Sus scrofa: one gene and its partner. The protein of the gene in region 1 interacts with the protein of each later gene in a pairwise test. Links are inferred from orthologs where the notes say so. Each region holds a gene or a part of one and is shown on either strand. Other genes may lie near its edges.

The links. The genes of interacting proteins can lie anywhere in the genome.
Region 2: the proteins of MYBPC3 (region 1) and MYH7 interact in a two-hybrid assay, tested with the Homo sapiens proteins (2 studies listed by IntAct). The link is inferred for Sus scrofa from reciprocal best matches to the Homo sapiens genes MYBPC3 and MYH7.

Annotation. Positions count from the first base shown.
Region 1 is NC_010444.4:15,246,465-15,250,740, reverse strand, and holds the start of MYBPC3 (myosin-binding protein C, cardiac-type), read right to left. Parts: upstream 3,063-4,276; 5' UTR 2,981-3,062; coding exon 2,956-2,980; intron 1,114-2,955; coding exon 847-1,113; intron 262-846; coding exon 148-261; intron 70-147; coding exon 1-69. UniProt on the Homo sapiens protein: Thick filament-associated protein located in the crossbridge region of vertebrate striated muscle a bands. In vitro it binds MHC, F-actin and native thin filaments, and modifies the activity of actin-activated myosin ATPase.
Region 2 is NC_010449.5:75,670,374-75,673,458, forward strand, and holds the end of MYH7 (myosin-7), read left to right. Parts: intron 1-5; coding exon 6-131; intron 132-214; coding exon 215-490; intron 491-1,518; coding exon 1,519-1,614; intron 1,615-1,727; coding exon 1,728-1,862; intron 1,863-2,403; coding exon 2,404-2,421; 3' UTR 2,422-2,535; downstream 2,536-3,085. UniProt on the Homo sapiens protein: Myosins are actin-based motor molecules with ATPase activity essential for muscle contraction. Forms regular bipolar thick filaments that, together with actin thin filaments, constitute the fundamental contractile unit of skeletal and cardiac muscle.

The sequences.
Region 1 (4,276 bases):
GCCGCATCACAAAGAGGCCGATGGGGTCGTCAGGGGCACTAGGGCCATCGGGGGCTGCTGAGCTTGATCCTGTGAGCAGAGGCCTTTGAGACCTGGCCTGGGACAGTCCCACCCACTGGCCTGGCCTCCCCACCCCGCCTCTCTTACCTTCGGGACTCGGAGAGCCTCCTTCTACCTCGGTGGCTGAGGCCAGGGCTTCTCCAGGGGCACCAGGAGCCTCGGTAGGGGCAGAAGCAGGTCCTGGCACAGGCTCTGCCTTCCCTGGAGGGGGTTGGGGAGGGGGATCATGGAGCAGCTTCTAAACAGAGACCTCTCCTCCTGTCCCTGGCCCTTCCCATCTGTGCAGTATGGGCAAAGTTTCATCCTGCCTGTGTCTCGCCCTCTCTTCATCCTCACTGGCCGCCAGTGCCCACATCCTGGTGGGTCAGCCTGAATATCCCTCCTGTCTTTCCCTAGACTCTGGTCTTGGTCCACCCCCCCCACCCCCGCACAGAGGCAGGGCGGGGGCTTCCTCCAAGCCCACAGGCTCGTGGGGCTTCCCTGCCAACACACAGCCCACCAAGTTCCCATCGGTGTGGGGGTGTCCAGTGGGAGGGCAGCATTATGTCATTCATCTCTGAATTTCCCCCACCTCCACAACGGCTGAGAAGGCCAGGGAGTCATGTGGGGACACTCGGAGAGGTCTTGCTACAGAAAACACAAAAAAGCCAATGCTGGCTGAGGGCACAGCCAAAGCAAAGGCAAGAAAGTGGGAAAACACCTCCTGCACCCTGGGCGATGGAGAGGTGGCGGGGTTGCCCCTGCCCCCAGAAGCTCAACTTCAGGGAAGGCTGCCCAGGGTCTTACCTGCTTCTAAGACCTTGAGGTCAAACTTGACCTTGGAGGAGCCGGCGATGACTGCGTAAGACCCCTGGTCGGCAGGGCCCACATCCCGCACAGTCAGTGTGTGCCGTGTGCCCTCGACTGCCAGGCCGTACTTGTCACTGGGGCTGATGTCACTGCCTGCCCGCTGCCAGCGAACCTTCACTCCTGCCCGTTCAGTCTCGGCCTCGAACACAGCAGGACTGCCAGCAGCCACCTCCACTGACCGTGGCTTCTTGCTGAAGGCAGAGACTGGGGGGCCAGCAGAGTCTGCAGGGGCCCCTGGCTTGCCTATGCACCCCACCCCTGAAGCCCCTCTTATTAAACATGGAGATAAGTGCTTTAATGATGAAATATGCTGAAAATCACATCACCCCATTTAATACTCCAGCGGCTATATGAAGTAGGAGCAGCTATCATGCCCATTTCTCAGATGAGGACTCCAAGGTTCAGAGAAGTTAAGTGACCTACCCAAGATCACACAGCCTATAGGCGGCACAGCCAAGCTTGTGGTCTAACCTCCACACACAAATTTTGCTGGGTATATCCCTGGATACATCACCCTCCCAGCCTGTGGAAGCCCAACCCCCCTTCCCCCACCAACAGGGGCCCTTGGCAAGGGACATGGCTAAATTTGGCCTCTAAGGGCCTCAGGCTGAGAATCAGCAACTGAGATAAAGCTGGCCTGGGAGGGGGCTGGGCTGGGGAGCTGACCCTGACCAGGACAACCTTGGTAAGAACTCTGGGCTGTGACTTTCTCTGCCCTTGGCTGGGGTTCAGGGGCTTCCTAACCATCCTCTCCCAGAGCAGAGGGGCTGCGTGGGGGGGCCATGTCTGGTGTGGGGGCCACAAGGGTGCAGGGTCAGAAAGCAAAGACTTTCAAAGCTGGAAGGAGGCAACCCAACCCCTTGTTGTATAGATAGGGAAACTGGGACCCAGAGGGGAGGGACTTGTCTAAGAGTGTTGAGTGAGACTGGCTCAAGTCTAATTTGAGACTTTCTTTTTCTTTTTGGGGCTGAACCTGTGGCATATGGAAGTTCCCGGGCTAGGGGTTGAGTTGTAGCTGCAGTTGCAGGCCTGCATCACAACCACAGCGGTGCCAGATCTGAGCCACATCCGTGACCTATACCACAGCTTTCGGCAATACTGGATCCTTAACCACTGAGCGAGGCCAGGCCTTGAACCTGCATCCTCGTGGATACTAGTTGGCTTCTTAACCTGCTGAGCCACAATGGGAATGCCTTTTTTTTTTTTTTGCTATTTCTTTGGGCCGCTCCCGCGGCATATGGAGGTTCCCAGGCTAGGGGTCGAATCGGAGCTGTAGCCACCAGCCTACGCCAGAGCCACAGCAACACGGGATCCGAGCCGCGTCTGCAACCTACACCACAGCTCACGGCAACGCCGGATCGTTAACCCACTGAGCAAGGGCAGGGACCGAACCCTCAACCTCATGGTTCCTAGTCGGATTTGTTAACCACTGCGCCATGACGGGAACTCTGGCTCAAGTCTAGAGTCATCCTGGGGGCCCTCCTGCAGCAACTTTTTCCCAAACGGCAAGTCCAGGCCTAATTTTGCTGCAGGGATGGGATGGAGGCAGAGAAGGGGTCTCCCTGCGTCCTGAGAGTAGAGCAACTGCCCTTGGGGCTTTCTGCCCTGACTCTCTTCCCCTCTGTACTCCTGACTCTGGTTTACTTTCATCAGAAGGATGGAAAGGAGAAACTAAGAATCGCAAAAGGCCCAGGATGGAGTTCCCGTTGTGGCTCAGCTGGTTACGAACCTGACAAATATCCATAAGGATGTGAGTTCGATCCTTGGCCTCGCTCAGTGGGTTAAGGATCTGGCGTTGCCATGAGCTATGGTTTAGGCTGGCAGCTGCAGCTCCGATTTGACCCCTGGCCTGGGAACCTCCATAATGCTGTGAATGCAGCCCTAAAAAAAGAAAAAAAAAAAAAAAGGCCCAGGAGGACAGTTCCCCCTGTCCTGGGGCTCAGAGGCCTCATCCCCCTCAGGAACTTGCTCCTAGGCCCCCCCCAATTGCAGATGCCCCCAGCCCTCCCTGCCCCACACTCAGCCCCAACCCAGGCCTGGGGCTACCTGGTTTCTTCCCTGGCTCAGGCATCTCGGAGAGGTCACCAGGAACCGAGCAGGCACAGGCTCCCCAAAGAGAATCTGAGCAGGCACCCGTCCCCCTACTATATAAGGGGCTGCCCCCTCCCCAGGCCCTCCTTATCTGCACCCTGCCCAGCCACCTGCTAAATATAGACAAATTCCAGAGATCAAGGGCTCTCCAGGAGAATGTGGGGCCCCATTGTGCCTGGCTGGCCCCTGGCCCCTCCCCCATCAGCCCACTATCACAGCTTCTGTCCCCCAATCCTCCCTGAACTTCAGGGGTACTCCATGCCCTGTCTGTACGTCTTCTGACAGGTAAATCATGTGGTGGGAGTGTGCAGGGCCCTTAAGTCTGAGGCTGATGGGTCAAACGCATCCTTGCCAGGTAGCGGTTATGTGCACAAACCCTGGGCTGGGCTGCCCTGCATCCTGGCTGCCCTGAATCACTATTTCTCTGTGACCTTCTGCCCCGTGACTGCCCCTACACCCACCTCCAGGTCACATCACGAATGTCAGTTGCTACCCAGAAAGAAGGAAATTACGTGTGACCCACTGCAAGCAAGACCCAATACCGGGGAAGTTCATTTGTCCCCCGTCATCAGGGGGAAGGAATTCTATACACAAGCGTTGTCCATGTGGTCAAAACCTACTCGCCTTTTCAACACTGAAATCATTCTTTTCTGCCATTTTAACCACATTTAAAAGGCATCTCATGGAGTTCCCATGTGGCTCACCTAGTTAAGGATCCAACGTTGTCACTGCTTTTGCTCGGGTTCAATCCCTGGCACGGGAACTTCATGCCAGGGGTGCAGCCAAAAACAAACAAACAAAAACACAAACAAAACCAGAAAATGCATCTCATGCTCCTGGGCCTTCTTTAAAAGGGAACTGAGCCCATTTCCCTCGCTCGGGGCTAGGAGCCCTGCATAGGGGGTGTTGCGGATGGGCTTCCCCAGCCCAAGCCCTTGGGGCGAGGAGGTAGAGTGTGTGTTGGGGGGGGTAATCTGTCCCAACAGGAATGGCCCCAGAATCTGGGTTCTCTGAGGTCTGCAGGCTGCTGAGCAAAGTTCCTCAGTCCCACACTGTTGGCTGCCTCTTCTTGCTACTGTTGGAAGCAAGAGCTTACAGGTTTCCCTGATCATCTTTTTCTGTCTCTCCCCTGCCATAGGCTCTAAGCCAGAGGGACCAGACACAAGGGTACACTCGAGAGGTTCGCTTGTACCAGGGTCCTGCTGGCAAGGATCCCATGAGGACACTGCAGCTGACAAGAGCTCTGGGGCTTAATTCCTGCTCCTGACCGAGCTAC
Region 2 (3,085 bases), on another chromosome or scaffold:
TGCAGAACACTAGCCTCATCAACCAGAAGAAGAAGATGGAAGCAGACCTGTCCCAGCTTCAGACTGAAGTGGAGGAGGCGGTGCAGGAGTGCAGGAACGCCGAGGAGAAGGCCAAGAAGGCCATCACGGATGTGAGTCCCCCCACCCCAGACTGTCTGCTCCAAGCCGGGGTCCCCTTGAGCTGGAAGACTCAGACCCTGTGTCCCGTGCACAGGCCGCCATGATGGCGGAGGAGCTGAAGAAGGAGCAGGACACCAGCGCGCACCTGGAGCGCATGAAGAAGAACATGGAGCAGACCATCAAGGACCTGCAGCACCGGCTGGACGAGGCCGAGCAGATCGCCCTCAAGGGCGGCAAGAAGCAGCTGCAGAAGCTGGAGGCCCGGGTGCGGGAGCTGGAGAATGAGCTGGAGGCCGAGCAGAAGCGCAACGCGGAGTCGGTCAAGGGCATGAGGAAGAGTGAGCGTCGCATCAAGGAGCTCACCTACCAGGTGCGGGCACGGGGGCCACGCTGGGACCGGGCCCTCAGGAGTGGATATGAAAGCGTGTCCCTCAGTCCACCTCCTGACCCTTGAGGGCCCCATGCACAGCCACCTTCCAGGAAGGCCACCCAGCCCTCCTGCCGGGCCCTCTGCATCAGGACCTGAAGCCAGGGTGACAACCACCCCAGAGGGATTAAGTATTTTTTCTTAGCATCTTCCAGGGCAAGGGGTGAGAGTACAGCCCCTAGCTGCCCTGTTCCTACTCTTCCTGGCCCCGTCCTACCCTGAGTCTCCCCTGGCTCAGAGAGCTATCTCTGAGCCTCCTGGCCTTCAAGCTCCACCTCACCATTCACCCTCTGCCTGTCCCCTGGAGACATACCCAGAGCTCCAGCAGAGCTCACCCAGCATGATCACCAGAAAGCAAATAGGTAGCCAATCCTTAGCGTGGTGTTATCATCACCAAAATACACCCAAGCCATTAAAATGAGTCTCAGAACTTCTCTGCTACTCAGGGAGGTATAGGCTTTAGCTCTCATGATGTTTCCTAGAATCAGACTATCAATTAGATTTTGTTTCTGTTCCAATCTGCAAAAAATTGCCATCCCACTGTGTATACTCGTCTTAAACCTAGATCAAGTCTATGTCATTTCCCAGCATCCCAGGAAATCCCATCAGGTGTGCAGTCCCAGAGTTTCTGCCAGCCATGCTGGGTTCTTGGAATAGAGGGTTTATCCTCCATGGGGCCCCAGGATACCCCAGGGCCTGCTCCCTGGAACAGTGCCTACTCCCTGGAACAGTGCTCACACAGTTTTGTGTGTAATTTCAGGAGGCCCATCAGCTCCCTAGATTCTTTCTTGGTACATACTTTTTTTATATATATAAGAAATTGTAAGAATTCAACTATTTGGTGAGGATCCAAAAGTTGAATTGGGTCAGGATATTACATTAATGTTAAGATGAGTGGGGGAGGGGCCACACTGCTTCCCATGATGGTGCCAAACTCACTCCTTCCTGCCAACCCCCTCCACGACCCCCAGACGGAAGAGGACAGGAAGAACCTGCTGCGGCTACAGGACCTGGTGGACAAGCTACAGCTGAAGGTCAAGGCCTACAAGCGCCAGGCCGAGGAGGCGGTGAGTGACCCTGTGGGGCCCGGGCCTGGAGAGGCAGGTAGCTGGTCTCCAGGATGGGAGGCTAAGAACCCCTGGCCCCTCTCACTCATCCTGCCACCCCTGAACCCCCACAGGAGGAACAGGCCAACACCAACCTGTCCAAGTTCCGCAAGGTGCAGCACGAGCTGGATGAGGCGGAGGAGCGGGCGGACATCGCTGAGTCCCAGGTCAACAAGCTTCGGGCCAAGAGCCGTGACATCGGCACCAAGGTGGGTTGTCCCCATGGCAGCACCCTGCCAACATCAGTGCCCCTCAGACAGAGCCCCTCACACCAGGATTCCTCCCCTTCATTCATCCCCCACGACTAAACCCCATGGCCCGAGAGGCAAGGTAACTCAGTCTCCTGTGATTTCTAAGCTTCTTCCAGCTCTAACTTCCAATGATTTTGTGGTCAGCAACCCTAGAAGACCCCATTTTGTATACACCCAGTGTGTCCCAATGTCCCCCATCTGCTATCTCTACTTCTCTTCCATTTAGTTTACATCTAGGCCTACAATCTTGTAACTCCAACCTAAGATGCATGCACTTCCTTGTCCTCACCCAAGCAGCATTCCTCCAGCTGACCCGAGCCCACCTTCCAGAACTGCCTTCCACACTGACCCCTAGGACTCACCTCCCACTGCCACAGGGCCTCCCTCAGGCCACACAGTGGTCCTCCCCTCTGTGGGTGCCCATCTCCCCTTTGTTGTATGTGTCCATCCCTGTACCCACCTCTCGGGAGCTAATTTGGACTTTGTTTCCTTTTAAAAGGGCTTGAACGAGGAGTAGATTTGCCACATCTTGATCTGCCCCATCCTGAGGGCGCAACAAAGCTCCCAGTCCTGGAGCCTGGAGAGCAGCCCCTTTGGAGGAAGCAGAATAAAGCACTTTTCTTTGAAGTGAGATGCTGCCTCTAGACTCTTCTTCACGGCCTGCCAGCCACAGGAACACAGGGACACAGACATGGGGATGGGGGGGGGGTGACTCCAGGAGGCTTCCCTGGTGAGCCCATGAGGCTCGGAACATCCTACTGCAACAATGCTACATGCTCCTTGCACCTCCTCAGCAGGTGAAAGCTCTCCTCCCAGCCCTCTCCCTGGCCCAGAGACACTGGGGATTAAAGGAGATTTGGGGAAACCCTTAAGGCTCTCCTAGAAAATGTAAGCCCACCTGCTGTGAACCTAAACCTCAGATCTGATCAACACTACCCCCACAGCTGATAACACCAGGGCTGTGAGGAGGAGGCTGGGCATGTAGGGGTGCCCTCTGAGGCATGACCAACTTGGACAGGGGATAATGGCTCCCAGCCCTGGTCCAAGGCAAGGGTCTGAAAGGGCACGAGGTCTTGCAGCTATAGCCCATCCCTGCAGACATGGCCTCCATGGTCTCCAACCACCCCAGAGGCCAGCGCCTCCTCCCCCAGCACCACCGGGAGAACTGTACCCTAGCCCAC